Linked DNA regions of Tribolium castaneum. The protein of the gene in region 1 binds, or shares a complex with, the protein of each later gene. Links are inferred from orthologs where the notes say so. Each region holds a gene or a part of one and is shown in the gene's direction. Other genes may lie near its edges. The genes, in order: CCT4 and viaf.

Evidence for each region.
Region 2: the proteins of CCT4 (region 1) and viaf are in contact, whole or in part, in a cryo-EM structure (PDB 8I9Q), measured with the Homo sapiens proteins. The link is inferred for Tribolium castaneum from reciprocal best matches to the Homo sapiens genes CCT4 and PDCL3. Residues at the interface, in NP_006421.2 of Homo sapiens: Val266, Gln271, Met272, Leu276, Glu279, Arg280, Leu312, His315; in NP_076970.1 of Homo sapiens: Ala70, Ile71, Tyr74, Arg75, Arg78, Leu79, Trp82, Lys86.

The regions. Positions count from the first base shown.
Region 1 is NC_087402.1:70,319-82,381, reverse strand, and holds CCT4 (T-complex protein 1 subunit delta), read left to right. Parts: upstream 1-4,260; 5' UTR 4,261-4,390; coding exon 4,391-4,499; intron 4,500-4,645; coding exon 4,646-4,698; intron 4,699-4,750; coding exon 4,751-4,840; intron 4,841-4,886; coding exon 4,887-5,054; intron 5,055-5,110; coding exon 5,111-5,264; intron 5,265-5,317; coding exon 5,318-5,625; intron 5,626-5,971; coding exon 5,972-6,676; intron 6,677-6,983; coding exon 6,984-7,001; 3' UTR 7,002-7,180; downstream 7,181-12,063. Other genes in the region: Marc (mitochondrial amidoxime reducing component 2), read left to right, coding at 1-98, 156-525, 583-875, 924-1,047; UDP-galactose transporter senju, read right to left, coding at 1,322-2,144, 2,195-2,312, 2,361-2,448; TBC1D23 (TBC1 domain family member 23), read right to left, coding at 7,209-9,080, 9,138-9,246, 9,357-9,385. UniProt on the Homo sapiens protein: Component of the chaperonin-containing T-complex (TRiC), a molecular chaperone complex that assists the folding of actin, tubulin and other proteins upon ATP hydrolysis.
Region 2 is NC_087394.1:28,836,921-28,847,588, reverse strand, and holds viaf (viral IAP-associated factor homolog), read left to right. Parts: upstream 1-5,231; 5' UTR 5,232-5,375; coding exon 5,376-5,381; intron 5,382-5,438; coding exon 5,439-5,571; intron 5,572-5,626; coding exon 5,627-5,855; intron 5,856-5,904; coding exon 5,905-6,113; intron 6,114-6,167; coding exon 6,168-6,283; 3' UTR 6,284-6,376; downstream 6,377-10,668. Other genes in the region: l(2)k09022 (HEAT repeat-containing protein 1 homolog), read right to left, coding at 1-1,406, 2,239-3,392; protein arginine methyltransferase NDUFAF7 homolog, mitochondrial, read left to right, coding at 3,814-4,514, 4,568-5,105; elongation factor-like GTPase 1, read right to left, coding at 10,200-10,668; maternal embryonic leucine zipper kinase, read left to right, coding at 6,746-6,967, 7,015-7,197, 7,249-7,509, 8,096-8,708. UniProt on the Homo sapiens protein: Acts as a chaperone for the angiogenic VEGF receptor KDR/VEGFR2, increasing its abundance by inhibiting its ubiquitination and degradation.

The DNA.
Region 1 (12,063 bases):
AAAAGTGGACACAGAGTCGAATTACAAAGGGCTGAAGTAACAGAAGTTGGACTTAGACAAACTAAAGAGGACGAAAAGATCTTTCAGTTAAGAGACAGGTATAACAAATCCAACATGGTAGCGAAAAATTCCATCATTATATAATGTTTTTTTAGGGTTTTGGTAGTTTATGGAGCTAAGGACCATGAATTTCGCACTGCTCGGACCTACCCAAAAATGGTCCTCATTGATGTTTCGGTCCACGATGAGGATCACCTTGCCATAGATGCTCCCACTATGAGGACACTCTACGTTAAAATACCCAACCGAAAAGACAACGCCGTTGCTAAAGTCAAGTGTTGGAACAACGAACATATTGAAGCAATTGATTGTGGAGATGAGGCAGCTGGCTGGTTTTCCCGATACATAATTGAGCGAGATTTTGGTCTAAGACTAGGTTACAACGATGCCAGTCATCGACGCGATATTACAAAAACCCACCACAAACTCCTCAACTACTACAAGAACTTAAGCAACCATTCAACTGTTTGTGCAAATCAAATTAAAATATTGTATTTATTATTAATTCGTACATTATTTCAGGGCCTGTTTGCAGACTTGTCGAGTGTTACTCTCATCAATCAACATTCAGTTCACGATTTGAATAAACGAGTTGGTAACAATTCCAATGTTACTGTTGAAAATTTCAGACACAACATTATTGTTGATGGACCTGATTTGCAACCTTATGATGAAGACAATTGGGATTGGATCAAAGTCGGCGATAATGTTATTTTGAGAAATGTTAAAGACTGTACTAGGTGTGTCTTTACAACCATTTCGTCTGAAAACGGAATCAGGGATATAAATAGGCAACCGTTGAAAACTTTGGAAACGTTAGTAGAAAAATAATCAAGCAACCAACAAAATTGTTTGTTTTACAGATATCGCAAACATTCAGGACCTGATCATGGACCAAGATTCGGAACGAATTTAGAAGTTGCAAAAACTGGATTTATTAATGTTGGCGACCCTGTATTTATTGCCAGGAAGGAAGAAACGCAATAAAGAACGTTTTAGGTCTATGTGTAGAGGGGGGACATTACATAGTTTTCATTCATTGAGATTGTTACTTATACTATTATTGTTATTACTTAGGCCATCCTCTGTATATAATACGAATTAAAATTGACTGTTCAAAATAATTTTTTTGTGCGTCAGGGATGATAAAAACGTCGTTCGGCTTTAACAATTTATTAAACTTGATTACATTAAAAATGAAATAAATCACACACCAATTTTCAGCAGTCAATTGTGTAGAAATAAAAAAAATAAAATCACATTAAACTTGTTCACTTTTAATAAGAGCGATTTGATCGCTTTGTCGACTACTGGCCTTTGATGAGACTGGATTCTGGGAATATAAATAGACGGCATACATGACAGCACCAATAGCAAGAACCGTGTTTAAATGAATGGCAATCCTAAAAAATAAATAACTCAAGATAGCCGTCAGAACCAGCTCTAAGGCACTGGCGAAAGTTTTTAAAATGGAATTTAAAGTTTTGAGGAAAAAACTAGTGACAATACCAATTGCGGCATTATTAAACATTACTAGTAATACTTTGTAATGGAATACTTTGCTAATGTTTTCGTAAGTGAACGCGGATGATAAAGAGACTCGTACGCTTAATAAAACCACGTTACAAACAATCGAATCCAAGTACATGAAAACATTTTGAATGAAAATATTCACATCAGCTCCTTGTTTTTTTAAAAGATATTCGTTATAGACTCCCGCAAGACATGAACAAAAAATTTGCAAAAGAATGAAAATGCCATTTAAACCAACGATATCGAACGAAATAAATGATTTTTTCTCTTGATTGGTGAAATTAATCTGTTTTAACATGCATCCAAATGTTAAAATTAACAATGAAAGCCATTGCTTCTTGCTTAAAGTTTTACTAAAAATGACTTGAAATAGTATTCCAGTGACTACAACTCTCAATTGCAATAGTAAGTAATAAGTTGTGGGGTCAAATACTGATAAGTTAACGAAAGCAAGGTTATTGTAGAAACAATACAAGAGTGCAGGTACAAAATAAAGCCCTAATACTTTCCTATTTTCTACTATATTGTTGACTAGCGACTTTGGAGAATTGCTACAACTCGAAATTGTTAAAATTATTTTACTTGAAAGTGAAAAACTTACTCTTTACAGTACAACAATGTTGACACAATCAATTTAAGAACTTCAGTTAGTAGAACTACCGTAATTATGTTATAATCATACTGATTGTCTGCTTTTTGAGAGGCTGTTACTAATATTCCTATAAAGAAAAAAAGCGTTAAACCGGAAATATAACATTGATAGTTACCTTGCCCTACAAACAACAATATATAAGCTAAGAAAATTACAAAACTCAGTTTTGTAGGGAACAATTCGATCCACGAAAACGTCGACATATTCACAGAATTTACGACTTATTACAATTGTATTAGTTGTTGAGCCAATTGTTGAGTAAATACCATTTTACGAGCCATTTTATTTTTTATCTCTTGATAACTCATTCTTGGAAAATGTTTAGGTTATGTCACACATTCAAAATGTGTGATTGATTATTGATTAAACCTACGATAATAATAATAATGCACATACTTTGATACATACAAATATGTCTACATCTTTACCACCATTTGAATTTTTTTTTTAATTATTATTATTCAAATTTCCAAAAAATTTCTTCTCGTAACTTTAAACACCAACTCACCAGTCAACTGTCCAAAGGTCCAAAGTTACATGTCGGTGAAGACAGCACCAAAAAATGGTGCTGGCACCATGAACATTACAGTCGACCAGACAATCGCTGCGCGCATGGTGCTAGCAACATTGCCCCAACATTCTCGTTTTCTACAGCCAAGTTCACACCAGGCAAATTATCAAAATAATCGTAAATCATTTTAAAAACATTAATAAGCTGTTACGCTGGCTTGCATATCACATTTGTAGAACATCTCCTGACCATTTATTTTTGTGTTGTTGTTTTTTTATTTCACAAACCAATAATTCCGTAAAATTTAATTGCAATTAAAATGTGTACACCGGCTCTAAATGCGGTGTTGAAAAGTTATAGTTTGAGTGACACGTTTTAAATACAGTAACTATAAATAAAATAAAACACTCAAATAATTTATTGTCGCGTACTGATTTTGACATTAATTTTAATCGATGAAAGTCGCTTTCTCAAAATTTATTTATGTTACTTTCATGCAAATAAAGATTTTTTAATGGTGTTATTTTTAATTTCTTTTTATTGTTTTGCTACAAACAGTAGCCAACGCAGAAGCCATAAAGGTAAGTGCATTTTATCTTTGTGTTGTATTTTTTTATTTCACGAACCAATAATTCCTTTATTCCCTTTATTTTCCAATAATCATTGTTTACCTCATCCTTATTCCCTTTTCTCCTGGCAAGAATGCTCTAAACCTCTACGTGGTTCTTGCTGGACAAATTAATTATTAATTTGACTAATAAGAGCAATTCTTAAATACAAATTTTTTTAACGCAGTTTGCAAAATCGATTTTTTTACAGTCGAAGGCCTTATTAGATGGCTTTCAGGATTTCAGGATATAAAGTTGATTAAAAAAAATATAGTTTGCAAAATCGGAAAATTTTAAAGAATCTTTATAAATTCATTAAGGCCTCAAGGGCTGTTTGTCTAAACATGGTTGTTTTACAGTCAAAGGCCCTATCGAAGGGCTTAATCTCTTGCAAAAATAAAGATAATTGCAAGGTATAAAGTGGGTGAAAAAAAAATTTGCAAAATAGAGTAACTTTATAAAAATTAAAAAAATTCGTTAAGGTCTCAAGGGGTGTTTGCCCAAACATGATTTTTTTACAGTTAAAGGCCCTATCAGTGGGCTTAAATTCCTGCAAAAATAAAGAAAATTGCGGGATATAAAGAGTGTGAAAAAAAATCAGTTTGCATTTCATGAATATGAGAATAAAAAATGCAGAAATTAAATGCAGTTAAGTTTTAATTTGTAATAGATACACATTAGAATGGTCAGGAAATGTTCTAGAAATGTGATATGCAAGTCAGTGTAACAGCTTATTGATGTTTTTATAATGATTTACGATTATTCTGATAATTTTCTTGGTGTGAACTTGGCTGTAGAAAACGAGAATGGTGGGAAATAGTGTTAGCTCTATGCACACAGCGATTGTCTGGTCCACTGTAATGTTCATGGTGCCAGCACCATTTTTGGTGCTATCTTCTCATCGATGTCAAAGTTAATGGAACTGTCATTTTTGTGTGTTGAAAAATAAGTTTGTGTCGACAAATATCTACAATCATCCGTTAAGTTACAATTAATAGTAACGTGTTTTCATATAATTCGTGAAAAATGACGATTCAAGCATCAATGGGTGATGGAAATAAAGCGCGAGGTGTGGTTTACAAAGACAAAAGTAAGCCGAGCGATGTCCGTCTCAGCAATATCAATGCCGCAAAAGGTAAACATAGTTTTTTTAAAAAAATACTTCTAAATTTTCCTTCGTGTAATCGTTTTTATAATTATTACATGAACTTACAATGTTTCAAGCCGGTTTTATCGACTCATTTCGCTACGTTTATATAATATCGTACATTTTTTTGACAGCTGTATGCGATGCCATTCGTACGAGTTTGGGGCCAAGAGGCATGGATAAAATGGTATATAGGTACTCAATGATTAATAATTTTTCTAATGATTGTTTTAATTTAGATTCAGGCGAGCAATGGTGAAGTCACCATCACCAACGATGGGGCTACGATTTTGAAACAAATGAATGTCATACATCCAGCTGCAAAAATGGTAAAAACGTAAAATCATTATTTGAAAAAATTTATTATTATTTTAGTTAGTTGAGCTGTCACGTGCTCAGGATGTTGAAGCTGGCGATGGTACCACTACTGTTGTTGTAGTAGCGGGGGCTTTACTCGATGCTGCTGAAAAATTATTAACACGGGGGATTCACCCAACTGCAATTTCTGAATCATTTCAACGAGCCGCCAAACACGCCGTCGATGTAAGTTTTATTTATATTTCATACCACGCTATAATTATTTTATATGCAATTTTCAGGTTTTAACAAGCATTTCTAAGCCGATTCAATTAGATAATCGCGAACAAATGGTTAAAAGTGCGTCAACATCATTGAATTCAAAGGTTGTTTCACAACAATCAAGTCTGTTGGCTCCTTTGGCTGTTGATGCGGTTTTAAAGGTCGTAGAACCAGGTTTGTTTGGAGAAAAATTAGTTATGTGTAAAATAATTATTATTTAATTTCAGGGCGTGAACAAGTCGTTTCTTTGTCAGATATTAAAGTCATTAAGCAAATTGGGGGCACTGTTGAAGATACCGAATTAATAGATGGTGTTGTTTTTCCTCAAAAAGTTGCAAATGTCAATGGCCCGAAACGTATAGAGAAAGCCAAAATTGGATTTATTCAGTTTTGTATTTCTGCACCTAAAACCGATATGGATCATAATGTTGTTGTTTCTGATTATGCTGCTATGGATAGAGTTCTTAAGGAAGAGAGGACTTATATTTTGAATATTGTCAAGCAGATCAAGAAGGCTGGATGTAATGTCCTTTTGGTAATTAAAATTTTTTTTCTACTCTCATACTTTAATTTATTTATTGCTTAAATGTTTGTTACCAACGAGAATATAGTGTAACGATCACGAGGACAACTTGTGACCGTAAATGGTAGCAATTAGATATTTGACTGCCTTTGTGCGTTTGACATTTAAAAAATAATTCGACATTAAAAAATTTTTTTTTGTACTTTAACCCATCGAATCATAAAAAAAGTAGTGTATGCAACTTTAATGGCTATTAATATACCTGTAGGCTATACGACTCTCGCCTACGGCTTGTAATTTTCGTACTTGTGTCTTAATAGGCGTCATTATAGATAGTTACCTGTTGTTTTGTTTTTAGATCCAGAAATCAATTCTTCGCGATGCCGTCTCTGATCTCGCTCTTCATTTTCTCGATAAAATCAAATGTATGGTCGTCAAAGACATTGAACGTGAAGACGTTGAATTTGTGTGTAAATCACTCGGTTGTCGTCCTATCGCATCTCTCGATCACTTTACCGCCGAAAATCTCGTTTCAGCCGATTTGGTTGAAGAGATCGGTGTTGGCGGCAATCGTATGGTGAAGATTACCGGTGCTCAAAATGCCGGTAAAACAGTGACACTTTTGGTTCGAGGCTCGAATAAATTAGTCCTTGAAGAGGCGGAAAGATCTTTACATGATGCATTGTGTGTGATTCGTTGTTTGGTACGAAAAGGAGCAATTGTAGCAGGTGGTGGTGCACCTGAGATTGAATTGGCCTTGAAACTGGCTGCTTTGGCTGATACAAAAGAGGGTATTGATGCGATCTGTTTGAGAGCTTTTGCAAATGCTTTGGAGATTATTCCGTTTACGTTGGCCGAAAATGCTGGTTTGAATCCAATTCAAACGGTGACAGAATTGAGGAATAGACATGCGAAAGGAGAAATTTCAGCAGGGATTAATGTGAGAAAGGGCTCGATTTCGGATATTTTAGAGGAGAATGTGGTACAACCGTTGTTGGTCAGCGTCAGTGCGATAACGTTTGCTACCGAAACGGTCCGATCAATTTTGAAAATTGATGATATTGTAAGTTGTTTTTTTTAAGGTTGAACTATACTGACGCAAAATTTGAAATAAGATTTTAAAGAAAAGTAATAATAATTGTATAATAATTTTATAGCGTGAAGTTTTAATATTGAAGACCGAAACGAAGTTGAGGGCTTTAATAAATAAAAAAATATAAAACTTGTTACTTGACCACCGGTAAAATGAAACGAATCTGTTAATTGTAAAAAAGGCTATTTTGTTTATTTTTTTTTAACTGGATAATGTGCCCAGTATAGTCCTACCTACCATAAGTACAAAATTTTAAACAATGTTTTGTCTTTTCCAGGTGAACACGATGACATAGATCTTTTCTAAATTGCTTCATTTAATTTTTTTGTTAAGTACGATCATTTGTAACAAAATTAGTATTATTACAAAAATAACAATATTGTGGATTCGTTTAAGCATTGTTTTATTTAGATAAGAATAAACAAATGGTTAAAGTTTTTTTTCCTATAATAAAATATCTACAGTAACAATAAATATGTGTAACTCTATTTAAATTTCCAAATTACTCCTTATTCTTCAACTGCTTTAAAATCTGTTCAGATACAACTTTTGTAGCTTTATCGGCATTGGGTATAAGAAATCGATCCATGTCAGATATAATTAAATTCTCACCATCTGGCACGCCATACTTGAAAGTGATAAGTTCAGGATGACGTTTCCTCGCTGTTATTTTAACAATCGCCGACAGGGGGCGTTTTACAATAACTTCAGCAATGCCACCTTTCCTATCGGGCATTTCTCTAAGTACTATAAGCTCACTGTTAGTCACAATCAAGTGACTTTTGTACATAAAACCATTGATTTTCACCTCCTGACACGGAAAATGTTCAATAACTTCGGGATGTTTCAACCATGATTGTATTTGTACCAATTCGCGACATTCTTCATTAGTTGCATCTTCCATGTTATTGGTGGTAGCATTTTCATGATCATCATCTATACTAAAAACAGGTGCCACATTTCGGTACCTTTTCCCGATTTTGTCGCTACTGCTAACATGTCTCTCTTGCACGGGACTATTGTTGGGATTAACGATATAATCGATAAGTTTTTCTTTAACTTCGGCCGATTTCGATTTCATTGCTGCTGAAATTTTCCCAAACAAATCGGTCGATTGTCCCTTGACTTGACCTTGCTGTTGTTGTTGTTGTTGTTGCATTGGGCCACACACAATGCAAAGTTTGGGATTATGATCTTGTAAAAACTCTAAATCATCCGAAAAGTAATGATGAAGAGCACAATAACCTCCTGTTAGAAGTGAAACGTATTGAGTGTGCTTCTGTAGGAAAGAAGCCACAACCATATGAGTGTATTGATCTTCTTCGTTACGACCTGATCCCAAAAAACACAAATGTTCACCACCTGCTGTAGAATTATGTGCCAGAGCTTGTTTTTGCGCCGAAAGTAAGCCTTGAACAGCAGTATTAAAAGCACTTGGTTCTTGAAGCATTAAGTTACAGTCCAAGTGAAAAGCTGTAGGTAAATGACCGGCATTGTACTGTTCCACAGGTCGACAATCAACTAGGAAAAATCTTACAGCGTCTATATTTCCACTCTCATTGGACGTATTTTCAACTAGTTCGCTTACGGAAACTGGGAGACATAACGCTTGAGAGACTACAGCATCATTTGTGCCATTATACAAGTTTTGCATTAAATCGGTCCGAAAACTAACGGGTGTTTTAAGGGCATAATATTGGGCCAAGGAACAAAAATCACCAACGTCTTCAGCCTCAAGAGCACACGGCATGTTCGTCAAATTCGAAATAATTACATCTCGAGATTCGCTTTTCATTGAAATGATTTGCTCGCGTGCGTTTATTACCATGATTAACGAGAGGAAAAAAATGAAAAACGGGTCAGACTGTTGAAAATAATAGTCCCACATGTTTATGACGACTTGTAAATTACAAGTGGCTGCGAAAAGTGACTGGAACCATGTCAGACAATATTTATCAGGTGTGATACGTTTAGTGTCAAGAAATGAACACAATTCTGGATCGTGATAGAGCAATAAAAGACGCAAAATATGGAAAGCGTTGCCGTCATTTGTGTGACAATTTTGAGGCACGTAAGTGTCTCTAATTGCCTCAAACAGGTTGTAAGTGGTTGAACGATTCACTTTCAGTGTTAGCAAAGGGAGCAGAAGCTCAATCCAGCCGTTGTTTTTAATATAAGTCAAGTTGCGACTTTTGCAATAAAATGTTAAAATCGATTCTAAATCGGATACAACGGATAATTTATCCTCTTCGTCATTGCCGAGTTTTGAAACGAAATTTCGACAGTCTTCTCGTAGCACAGATTGATTAGGCAAATCATAGATTTCGTTAAAGTGATCGAGTTGGTTCCCCTTGTCTCTTACGTCGAGACATATCTAAAAAAAATACGACACATTATTTATGACGAGCAAAATGATTGGTATGTTGCTAACCTGCCAGACTTCAGCTCGTAAATTGTCAGGTAAAGGTTTGCCTTTGCAAATACAGTAAATATCAGCAACTGAACATTCTTCCAGTAAAGCGCTTTCTAAATCAGCCACCCTATAATAAAATAATAACTAAAGTAAATAAATGACACTGCACAGGCGAGACTTGGTTTCGTTTTACAACAACAAAAAATTGAGGCAACTTTATTATGCTTGAAAACTTACCATCCGTTGTCGTCATCAACACTTGCCATTTTCACATATTAAAGAAAAAATAAGCGACGAAAAAGAGGAAAATACCACATCAACGTGTCAAAAAGTGACATTCAAAACAGCAGATGATAAGAGGGATTGGCAGCCATGGGTACCAGAAAGTTTTAAGTATGGCGGATATTTTAAAATTTATATCCCATTTCAGCAGTTCTTAGAATTTTGCAAAAGCGCATTTGATTTTTTTTGTAGTGACATGGAGCAAAAATTGAAAGTTTTGGTGGGGTTTTTTAGCCCTTTATTTAGTTTAACACATAATTCCTTTCTTTCTTTACAGTGTTACAAAAATTTTGGATTCAATATTTGTTTGGTATTAGAAATATGGGTAGCATATTTTCCAAACAATATGTTAATTAAAAGGATTTCTTGAATAAACGTTATGTTGTATTTGTGTTTTATTTAAAAGGACCGCCAAAAATAAAACAATGAGAAGATGAACGGAGATAAATCAATAAAAATATAAACAAAGTGTTTTGGGGCTATGGAAATGGTGACTTCAGGATTACAAGCCGCCACTCCGACAGATTTATCTGAGTCTCCTTCCGGACCTCTTCGAAAGAAGACAAGGATATTCAGCGATTTTAGAACCCTGATGGACTGTAAGTGGGAAGATTCTCACTACGAGAAAGTAAAGGTAATGGCAATTAGCCCCTTTGCACAAGTAGAGGAAGTTGCTCCGGTGATTATTAGATCGAGGGAGCAAAAAGAGGAGGGGGCACTGCTGCGATTACTTAGTCAGCGGTGCCCACGGTACAGACAAAATGTGCTAAAAGGAGAGAACCCTATAAATGCCATGGTAGTAACCATTAAGCCAACAGTTGCGCTGGGACTCAACGCAGTGAGCGAAACTCCAGAAGATAGCTAGCTATATGTTTGTAATAGCTGCTGAAGAGATGGAGAAGGCAACTGGTTCATTTCCGAGAACATACGATGCTCTCCTGAAGCTGAAGGATAGAGTAAAAGAATTTGGAATTCCAAAAATTGCAGTGGCATGTGACTCGACATGCAGAGTAGAGCACCAAAGACAGATGTTAGAATATGTTTTCAAGGTGGAAGATGTGGAGGTTGTCTCCACATCATGTCATACTCAAATTCTTGAGTCTAATTTTGCTTTTATCTGCAATTTTCTTTTTTTTTTAAAACAAAGTTGGAGAACGTAAAATCCTATGCAAAATGATCCGGGGAATCGATTGGCATCGAGAAAATTGCCAAATTCCCAATGGTTTTTTAGTTATGAATTTTTAAAAATTTTCCCAATTTTTGCATTTGTCTCCAATTTGCTCGAAAACTATTAGTCGGAGAACAATATTTTTTTTTGAAAAAGATAGATAATTTAAAGAGCTTTCCAACGATAATACACTTCATGGGGTTATCTCTGATAGTTCCGGAGCTATTGCTTGACAAAAGTTCCGGGTACCCAAAATCGACAAAAACTGCGACGAAAATTGAAAAATCAAACTTCTAAAAATCGAACATATGGACTTTTTGTGGACTAAAAACAACTTTTTTGGGTTGTTAAGACATGTAGAAGTCCATAAAAATTTACTGGAGTGAGTTTAAAAAAAATTTTTTTTTCACCTCTTTGAAGGTAAGTATTACCCAGGAAATTTTAGCAAAAAAATTGAAAATTTTAAATCTCGTGAAAAGTTGGTATAATACAGAAAATGAGCCGCTGAATTCAATGGAACAAACCGCATTGCTCTACGACTTTTAGTTTTCGAGTTATGAATTTTGTTAATGAATAAAATTTTTCACTATGACAAATGGCTACCCTAAATTTAGGCAAAAATTTTTAAATTTTTAATTCTTGTGAAAAATTGATATATTATGTAAAATGAGCCGCAGAATTCAACCGAACAAACCGCATTGCTCTACGAATTTTAGTTTTATTTTTATGAATTTTTTTAGTGAAAAACTTTGATCGCCTCTGTAGCCGGAACCGTTGCCCGGAGCGGCTCCGGGTTTGGTCGAAAAAATAGATAAAATTAAGCGCTATCAGATGTTTTTTTGTTCGTTGCTCTAAGTCTTACAGTTTCCGAGAAAAACGCAAAAAAAGGTTTCCATTTTCACTTTTTTTCAATTTTCAACCGCCAATTACGGCGAAACTATTAGAGTTATCGAGAAACGGAAAAATAGAGGACAACCGGAATAAAAAACTCTACAAAATGGCATAGGACTCAAGGCGATATCTCGCAAAAAATTTTTCAATATTCAAACGCCGATTACGGCCAAACTAAAAGAGCTAGGAGAAAATGCTTTTTTAGATTGGAAAGAGCACATCAAAATCTATAAGATAGAATCGGTTTTATTTGATTTAGAGACACTTTAAAAATTGACCGATTTTAAGGGGGGGGGTGTTAACTTTTTTTTAATTTTTTTTATTTTCTCATTTTTGGCTAAACTATTCGAAAAAGTGGAACTATTTTGATCCATTCCTATGCAAAATGATCCGGGGAATCGATTGGCATCGAGAAAATTGCCAAATTCCCAATAGTTTTTTAGTTATGAATTTTTTAAAATTTTACCAATTTTTGCATTTGTCTCCAATTTGCTCGAAAACTATTAGTCGGAGAACAATAATTTTTTTTGAAAAAGATAGATAATTTAAAGAGCTTTCCAACGATAATACACTTTATAGGGTTATCTCTGATAGTTCCGGAGC
Region 2 (10,668 bases), on another chromosome or scaffold:
TCTTCACTTCGGTTAAGATTTCAACAATTCGGAAACTTTTTTGCTTGACGTCTTCCGATTTGTGTAACAACAAGGCCAGAAGTTGGGGGATAAAAATATCACTCTCGAGAAGCGAACTCATTTCGTTGCTGTCCTTGACACTGGACAGCAATTTCGCAATTAGTGACACACTTTCGGTCACGAACTCTAAATCCTGGCTCTTCCCACTGTTGACCAAGTTTAATAAAAACTCTATTTTGCTTCGGAACGTTTTGCAGAAGTAGTTAATAAAAACGTGGACGTACTTTTTGTGGTTTGACTTGTTTTTGAGTAAAGTGGTGGCAAGTAAAGTAAAGTATTGATTAAAATCAGTGTCCTCATGTAAGTCAACTCGGCCCAACTCAACCGTGGGTTTAAGTGTCTTCACAATTACGTTTTTCAAACACAGTAGAAACCCTTCGATGTGGAACTGGCCGGCGCGAGCCACACTGATGTGTTTTTGCATAAAAGCGTTCCCTTTTTCATATTTAATCTCACAATTTTCGATAAACTCGATAAAGATTTTGACGATTGTGATGTTGCTCTCAATTGAGCTATTTTCAGGTAGGATGATGCTCAGAATAAGAATTATCAGATATTTGCTGAGTACGGAACGATCTGTCGTTTTGTGAATACAGGCGATAAAGTCGTTGACCAGTTCTTTGTTGTTGTTCCGCATTGAGTCAAAAACGCTGTTACAAAACTGGGCACAATCCTCACCTTTGGCGTTAATCTTCTTCAGCAAGCAATTTTTACGACAGAACGAACTTTCGGCAATTGTTTGTGCTGCACTTAACTGATTTTCAGAGTTTGGTAATAAGTAGGGAAGCACGGCTACGAACGTTTCCCAGTCGTTTGCCTCGCTTTGCTCGCACAACATGAGCACAATTTCGGTCGAGACGGACCCCCAAGTCTTCAAATCGCTCTGGCACTTGTAGGCCAGTTTGGTCAAAACGTCCTTCAGCGCGTCTGTCTTCAGAACAGATATATTTTTGATCAGGTTTAGTGTTTCATGAACGACTTCCACGCTGTCGTCGTTCAGGCGATCAATGAACGAGCTTTTGATCATTTCTTTTTCACGGTCGCGGAGAGAGTCATAATTATTGACAAGATATTTGATGGCTTCTTTTCGGTATGTGACGTTGGGGTGATATAACTTGGCCAAAACGTCGAACTTGCACCGAATGTTCATTGTTTCGGTGAGGATTTTTTGAAGCGATTTTCGTCGCTTGATCACTTTGCCTTGTTGCGTTGTCGAGAGGATTTTGTAGACTTCTTTATCGAATTGGTCGGGGTATTGGCGTTCGAGCGTTTCGATTATTTCCGTTAGCCATTTTTGGAGGTGTTCCGAGTAGGGTTTCTTGGTCTTGGTACGGTCGAGAAGAAGACTACAAAAAAAGAGTCAAAGTTACGGAGGCGAAATGTGATACAAAAATTTAGTGTGGCGAGTTAAAATTTTTAAATCCTTCCATTACCATTTCTATACATCTTAGAAATTGCATGGTGTATTAACAAAAACCGTGGCCTTTTAACAACACATTTAAATCTACATAGCTTTAATACAAGACATATTACTAATTAGTGTTGCCAGCACGTCGCCTCAAAATCACTGATAAGGGCCCCCTTGTATCGGGTATTAGAATTTTTTATAACCTTCCTCCAAATATCTCCACCACAATTTATGTTTACATTTACTAGAACAATGTTTCTATTCCATTGAAGAATATCTCAAAAATTAAAATTTTTAAATAGCTTTTTGATGCTTTTCATGTATATTTTGGTGTCCTAAACTTTAAATTTTGCATTTTAATGTTTGTTTATTGTAGGTAACTTTTCTTTTGTCTTTATCTTATTACTATAAGTGTGACGTACCAAGAGGTATTATACATACTTGGCTGATAATAAACTGATTTAGTTAATATGCAAAAAACTGATTTAATTTTCACAACAAAAATGAGAAAAAAATATTTGTATTCCGTCCAATATTTTTATACCGTTATGAAAGATACAATAAAAATGTAAGAAAAATAGTTGTAAAATATTAAATTTCATACAAAAAAATTCCCGAGACTATTTCTTTATCTTTAATAATGTAAAGGACGTGTAAAAACGTTCAAAGCCGGTTAAGCGACGAATTCGTTTCATTTATTTTAGGTCTGTTGGGAACAATTGTACAAAAAAAATGAAATTGTCAGAAAACCGCAAAAATTGTGTAATTACCTTAAAAATATTTCCATGAAAGCGTCGTCGAATTTAATCGCCGCTAGAAGAGTCTTCATAAAAGCGCGATACTCCTCCAGGTCCAGTTTGACAGCCCCATACAAGCACGTCTTGACCAAAACCTTCAAAAATGGGGTAACGAAACAATTTCCGTTGCTCAAATCTTGCAAGACTTTCGGTAACCAATTTTTCCCAATCAAACTATAGCAAGCCGATTCCGGTAACTGAGTGTAATGAGTCTGAGATTGGCAAAGAATCAAAAGAGTCAAAACTGATTCAGTTTTCAAAGTTTCAACTTTCGACACGGATACTTTTTCGACGAATTTGTCCAAAATTGCATCAGTTAGCGGCGTTTTCATTACAAGTCGTCCCAGAATAACGTACGAAGCGGCGCAAAAATCCGGAATGTCCGAATTTAGGCCTTTGAGGAGCGCTGGTAGCATCTGAGTGATCTGAGCTTCATTTAACTCGGAGGAATATTCAATAGCCCCCACGAAAACGGTGCAATAAAAGTTGAAAGCGACGGTGAGTAACGAGGGTTTTTCAAATTGCTTCACGAGCAGAGAGATGAATTTGGCCACAAATTTTAGGAAATAAACATCACTTGATGCCTTGTTTAGTAGGCTTTGTTTAGTGAGATGAACCCCAGTTTTCTGAATCGACTTCAAAAAGAACCAACTGTCATTCTCATCCTTGAATTTCATCAACTGCACCACTCTAACGAAAATATTCGACTCGTGATACGGCATTATAAGCATAAGCAAATCGTCTCTGTTAAATTCATGAATGTTGTATCTGTTTATGAGCCATTCAAGCGCCTTATGTGCACAGTTCAGCAAAAAATAAGGCGACAATTGCAGCAGAAATTTCCTAATCACTTTATCCAACTTTTTGTTTGCGTCAGCGGATTGCACCGCGCGCTCAAATTTTTTTGAAGTTATGTGAAAAATGTTGCTTTTAAACTGCTCAAAGACTGGGTTTTTCGTGATCAATTCTTCTAAACCGTCAAGACCGATTTGGTAAACGGTCTCACGTTTCAAACCAGCCGCTTCCTTAGGGTCGAAGAGCAAAGATGGGCGTTTCTTGTCCCTTTGTAACAGCGAGGTTTGGGGCAAAGCCAGGCGCTTGAGTTGCTCGCTCAGTGAGGTGCTCATCTTTAGAAACAAAAACTTTAAATGTGGGAACACTTACACAACCTAGGGAAGTGACTTACCTTTATTTTATCCAAAACCGGCGCCTGTAAACAAAAACAACGCCAGAAATTACATTACACGTGACAACTGGGGCACGCTGAAAAACTGTGGTTATGATACGATTTAGACTTGTCAAAGGATTTATCTACTGGACATTAGACCTAATTTTCTCTAAATTTCACTTAAAATTTGATTAACTGGGTAGTTTTTTATTTTAGTTGGGCACAATTTCTGTTATCATACGTGTCACAGAATTTAAATATTCACATCTTCTTCTTTATTTAAACAAAATCAATTATCTAACAAGGTGGAGCGCTAGACCTACTGTCACTCTGACAAGAGTGAGGTTATTCCAAAATTTCAAAAATAATTAATAGGAACAATGTTTCAAATACGACGTTGCACCCGTATTGTAAAAACCCTTCGGTCGTATTACACCGTCAAGAGTAACGAGTCCGTCAAAGACCCTCATCAAGTGGCTAAGCAAATTTACTCAAAAATCAAAGCCACCGGCCCTATCACAGTCGCTGAATACATGAAGGAAGTGTTAATAAACCCTTTAGGTGGCTATTACATGCACAAAGACGTGTTTGGTGAATCAGGGGACTTTATTACATCCCCAGAACTCAATCAAATGTTTGGAGAAATGGTTGCCATTTGGTTTTTGAATGAGTGGTCTAAAGTGGGGTCCCCTAAACCAATTCAAATTGTTGAATTAGGGCCAGGCCGTGGCACTTTAAGTCAGGATTTGTTGCGAGTGTTTGACCATTTCGGCGCACTACAGAGTGCCACTTTGCACTTGGTTGAAGTCAGTCCTCTTTTGAGTGATTTGCAAGCAAGGAAACTGTGTATCCAGTCGGACAATATTATTGATAAAAAGTCTGTGATACATAGGCAAGGGATAAGTCATCAGGGGATTCCCGTAAAGTGGTACAGGCAACTAGATGATGTTCCGAATTGTTTCACGTTATTGGTAGCTCATGAATTTTTTGACGCTTTGCCTGTACATAAGTTCCAAAAGACTAAAGACGGTTATAGGGAAATTTTAATAGATATAGACCTTTCTAAAGAATGTTCGTTTAGGTATTTTATGCTGACTCAAACTGCTACAAGTAATAGTATAAATATCTTTCCAGGTATGTTATAGCCAGAGAGGAAACTCCAGCTTCAAAACTTTATATTAGACCAAATGAGACTCGCGAACATTTTGAAATATCGCCTGAAAGTCTAGTTTTAGCCAAACAAATTGCAGAGAGATTAGAAATAGACGGTGGTTTAGCCCTGATTGCTGATTACGGCCACAATGGCAGCGGCACTGACACATTCAGAGCCTTCAAAAAGCACAAATTGCACGACCCTTTGGTAGAACCAGGCACTGCAGACCTCACAGCTGATGTAGATTTTGACGCACTTTCAAAAAGCGCCACTGAAGCTGGAGGGGTGATCACTTTTGGGCCAACTACTCAGCGAGACTTTTTGCTCAAAATGGGGATAGAGCATCGGTTCAAGGCACTTAAAGCAAATGCAAAACCGGACCAAATAGAGGGTTTAGAATTTGGGTACAAAATGATGACTGAAAGCAACCAAATGGGCGAGCGGTTCAAGTTCTTGGCGCTTTTACCAGCCGTTTTGGAGAAACTGTTGAAGAAGTATTCAGTTGCTGGGTTTCACTAATTAATGTTAAATAAAAATAAAAATGAGAACAAGTTTTAAATTTGGCGCTGTCTACTATCCCCACTCCGAAAACAAACTGGGAGAGTCACTGTTGCGATCTTCGTCCAACATTCGGGGTAAAGCGAGATGACAATATGTTACGTGACGGCAAAACATCGGATGTGTCATGCCTACTACACAAATTTCCTTTTTTGTAAAGTAGTCACATGTAGAGCTTCAACAGTAAATAATTCAAAATTTTAATATTTTTGACTCATACAGTTTAACAAAATGCAGGTTTGTACATTAATGTGAGGTTTTTTTGTGTTATTTTCCTGGTCTTAATAATTTTAGGACCCCAATGAGGACACTGAATGGAACGATGTTCTCAGAAGCAAGGGAATTATTCCTCCTAAGAAGGAAACAGAGATAACAGAGGATCAAATTGTGTCTATGTTGGAAGAGACAATTGAACAAAAAACCTCAAGTGATTGCACATTAAAATTCAAAAATAAACTTTGTTCACTTTTGTCCATTTTTAGCTGGTAAAGATTTTTCAAAGCTAGACCTTGATGAGCTAGACGAGTTGGAAGATTCTGAAGATGAAGCTGTTCTTCTTGAATACAGGAATAAGAGGATAGCTGAAATGAGAGCATTGGCTGAAAAAGCCAAATTTGGCTCAGTAGGTGAAATTTCAGCCCAAGATTATGTGCAGGAAGTTAATAAAGCTGGCACAGGCATTTGGGTTGTTTTACATTTATACAAACAAGGGTAAGACTAAAAGTTGTGGTTTTTATAATAATACACAATTATTTTACAGAATACCGCTGTGTGCCCTAATTAATGAATATATGAAGCAACTTGCAGCTAAATACCCAGCTGTTAAGTTCCTGAAATCAATTTCAACGACTTGTATACCAAATTATCCCGACAAAAACTTACCAACTCTCTTTGTGTACTTTGAAGGGGAATTAAAATCGCAAATTGTGGGTCCAGTCGAACTTAGGGGCCCAAATATGACCCAAGACGGTACGAAAATTAATATTTAGTTGTGAAACATTATTTGAATTATTATTTTTCCAGAGTTTGAATTTTTAATTGGAAAAACAGGCGCTATTGAGACCAGTATTAAAGAAGACCCAAAGCCGAAAATCAAAGATAAAATGTTCGCAGATTTGGCTAGTACCAATGATTGGTAATGCGGCAATAATCATCTTTATCTACTTAACGAATTTTGTAACAATTTTATTATTTATTGCTGTTGCTGTATTGAATAAATTAGTTTTTTGATCTACCAGTGTTTCAAACTCCCACACTTGCACCCCAAAAAATAATTTTTTAATAGAAAAACAGGCGATATTGTGCCTTACATTAGAGAATCTCCAAAGCCAAAAATCAAACACAAGATTTGGCCAACTTTTCGGCTTAAAACTTCTTTTCGATCCACTGGTGATTCGAACCAGCACAACTTCCACCGCAGACTACCGGCGTCCTCCGCCCAGTGACAGATGTCAAAACAATTCGAATTCAAATGCGGAAAATTCGTTAATGTTTGCAAATTTCTAACAAAAATATGTGTGTAATTTGAGCAAAAAATCGTGCAACTGTCCGTTTTTGTGTGATAAAGTAGTCGGAGAACAAGTGTTTGTCAAGTAGTCAAAATGGTGCGTTACGCTGAACTGAAAGGCTTGTATGAGATTGAGAAGACGATAGGCTGTGGAGGATTTGCTAAAGTTAAGCTCGCAACTCATGTAGCAACCGGAGAAAAGGTCGCAGTTAAAATAATGAACAAGACGGGACTTGGCGATGACTTGCCAAGGGTCAAACTGGAACTGAAGGCTTTAAAGTCGTTCTCACACCAACACATTTGCAAACTCTACCAAGTAACAACCATAAAGAACGTAAAGGCCTTGCTAATTGTGCTTTTTAGGTGATTGAGTCGGAAACGCACTTTTTCATAGTTATTGAGTACTGCTCAGGTGGCGAACTGTTTGACCACATTGTCGAAAAAAACCGCTTGAGTGAATCGGAAAGCCGCACTTTTTTCCGGCAAATTGTGTCAGGGGTGGCTTATTTGCACAGTCTGGGGTATGCACACAGGGACCTTAAACCAGTAGGTGTTTTCACAACTTTTCAATACATATAAGTAACAAAATAATTGCAGGAGAACGTCCTTCTCGATAAAGACCAGAACTTGAAGCTGATTGATTTTGGCTTATGTGCCCGGCCTGAGGGGGGCATGGGGAGCCCCCTGTACACGTCTTGCGGCTCTCCAACCTACGCGGCCCCCGAGCTAGTCTTGGGGAAGAAATATCTGGGGCCCGAAGTGGACGTCTGGGCCATGGGGGTCCTGCTCTATGCTCTCCTAGTCGGGGCTTTGCCCTTTGATGACATAAACATCGATAGCTTGTATAAAAAAATTCTGGTGAGTTGAGTTTATTTATTATCTTAATCGGGTACATATATTTCTGGTTTCGGTAAGAAGTTGATCACTATCACGTATTCTACTATATTAAAGGGCGCAAGGTGTTGTTTGTGCAACGACCAGTGCATTCCCAGCTTATTATACAAGCGGTTATTTTCCGATTTTAATGTTCTATGTAACGACTTGATTGTCCTCTTATTAAAATAAACCACCGGACACATTGAGCAGCCCAGCGTGCAACAAAACGTGAGGCACCCGCAGAAAAACCAAACGAAATTGTTGATGAAATTCCGTCTTAGCACCTTATTGATGAGAAAAATCGTGTAAGCGTATTCTTCTGGCGCTACTTTCATTCTTAATCGGCTTGGAATTGCGGGGCTAAAGTGGTTGTTGAGGCCAAAAAGCGTCACTTGGCCGTTTCCCTTCAGTAAAATTGGTTCAATTGCGGCGAGATTTTGCAAGATCGTGCTGTAAACACTTTCTGAACTACTCGATTCTGGCGGTTGCATTTTGCAAACTTACATGGTGACATTTTTGACACGGAAGCTTTTGTGTGTGTCACTGTCAAAAAAATGTTTATTTTCAGAGTGGCAAATACGCGGAGCCTCCTTTCCTGTCCGCGGAAAGCAAGCGCCTCATCGCCTCCATGCTCCAAGTGGACCCCAAGAAACGCATCACCGTGCAAGAGCTCCTCTCACACCCTTGGCTCACGTTGGGTATCCTGGACCCAGTCGATTACACCTCAATTGATTTGAGAAAGTACGACAAGGATTGTGTCGACGTTATGGCATCGTATTACAACGTAAACCCGGAAAGAATGTGGCGCCACTTGAAAAAATGGAAATATGATTATCACACCGCTACGTATTTTTTGTTGCTTTCGAGGAAAAAAAGAGGGGCTGTTTTGAGACTGGTGTCATTGCCGGGGCAACTACACTTGAAAATGCGGTTGGAGGAGACTCCGCGTAAAGAAAGGCCCCAGTTGAAACCCTTGGTGATAACTCAAGGACAGCAATTAGGTGCAAAAGAGGGACAGACGCCGTACTACGACTGTATCGAGAATATCGAAAATTGCAAACCGGCGAGAAATGATAATCTGGATAGTCCCAATGTGTTTGTTGAACCTGAGAAGCCCCCAAGCGTACGCAAACCTCAGAAGAGGGTGAGGAGCCCCACTTTGGGAGAGGAAAGTTCGCCAGGTACGATTTTTTTATTTTATCACTCTTGTGCAATAGAAGTTTCCAAATCCATTTCCACTATGTTTTCAGCGGCGCAACAGCAAAATTTTCTTTTGTTGTTTACGTTCTTTTTATCTTATGTTACTTTCCTGTGTTTCGTATATTTTTTTAGTATTAGAGGCAAGTTGCAAATTTTTGGTCACATCTTTTAATTTATGTTTAGTTGTTTTGTTTATTCGTTTTGTTCATTTGTCTGTATTTTTTCAATTCTGTTTTTCAAGGTGTTTGTTCGACAATTTACCACTCTTACGCGGTAAAGTAGTTCTTCTAACTCTTAGTTCTCTTTTCTTTTGTATCACATTATTTGAATTGTTATTAAGCTCGTCTTATTTAAGGTGTTTTTATTTTGTAGTGGAGTGGTTGTTTTATTTTATAGTGCATTTTTTTATCATGTGTGTCCACTTATTATCCCTCCCTCGATTTCTTCAAAGACACAGTTCGATCTCGAAAATCCAAACCTACTATAATCTGAACAGATTCTTTGACTTTTGTAAAACAAACTATTCCAAACAATATTTCCCGAGAAATATTATGTAGATTGTTAAATAATCTTGTAAAAACAACGTAATGTTGTGGTTGCATAATACAAATAGAAAATTTTGAATTTAGAAGTTGCTACAAAAGGCAATTTTCATTGTAAAAGAAGGAATTACTTATTTTCAAATAACATTTTTGCACGAGATATCAAGTAGCGTTTAGATCATCTCGGAACCAAATTGTTTAATTAATTTTAAATTAAACTAGTTAATTACTTCGAAAAAGGAAAGGAACTTTGACCACTAAACTTTTGATAAATTGAGAAAACTTGACTAAAATTTTCACGTCAAACATGGGAAAAATAAAATATATAAATTACTGTTTTTTACTGAGTGCTATAGATGATTTAATGCCTATCTGCCTGTAATTTTTGTGTGTCCTGTGCAGTCATTTACTTCATTGCTCTTAAAACTTAAACGTTTATTAAAAAAATCACATGTAATTATTAAAAAAAAATTAAACGCAAAATCTTAAATATTTCCCAAAAGGTGGGTTTTTGAAAAAAACACGATAAATAGCAGGTAAATCTTCTGTTTAAAACAACATAGACAACATATTGAATTTTGTATCCATCAAGCGAATCAGAAGTTGCTAAACAAAAATTTTAAAGTTATCCACTTTTCCAACAGGAAGCAAAAAATAACCCTTAATCTGACGAAATTTTGAAAGTCAAGGCTAAATTTTGAGGTATTTTATATAATTTTGTCGAGAATTTTTATATGATCATTATAGTAAATATTTTTTTACAAATCAAAATAAGTCTCATGTTGTATTTGGTTGGATTATCGAGGTTGCACTGTATCACTTTATTTTTTGTTTTTGTTTTATATATTTTGTGAAAGTATAGTCATCCCCAGCCCCCAAAACAAAGCCTAACATCTTACAAAAATATTTATTCACGTGTTAGTTTCACTTTTATTTTTTCTTATTGAGCGTCCTTTGTTTCTCTCCATGCACGACCACCTGTTCCTCCACGTGCAACCCTTTCCGTTTCCTTATCGCTTTTCTAAGTTTGGTGGCCCTGATAGCCGACTCCACATTCACATCTTCCTCTTCTTCGTCGTCCTCCACCGGCTCGTAAAACGGATCACCGTCGATAATCTCAAAATGACTAAACTTCAAAGTAGGAATCGCTTGCCCAGAAGTCGTTTTGCGCATTTCGTTAGCAAAACCCGTACTTTCAACAACCGGAATCTGGGCCTTAACCAGAAAACTTTTCTCTTGCTCGTCCATTCCGACAGCGTCCAGAACTTTCCCGTGCCGTTTACTCACAACCGAGTAGACTTTTCCTAAAATATTTGTGTTGACTTGAATACTGGTCGTAAACATCGGTTCCATGAGTCTCTGCTGTTGTTTTTCGAACGCTTCGCGAAACGCTGAACTC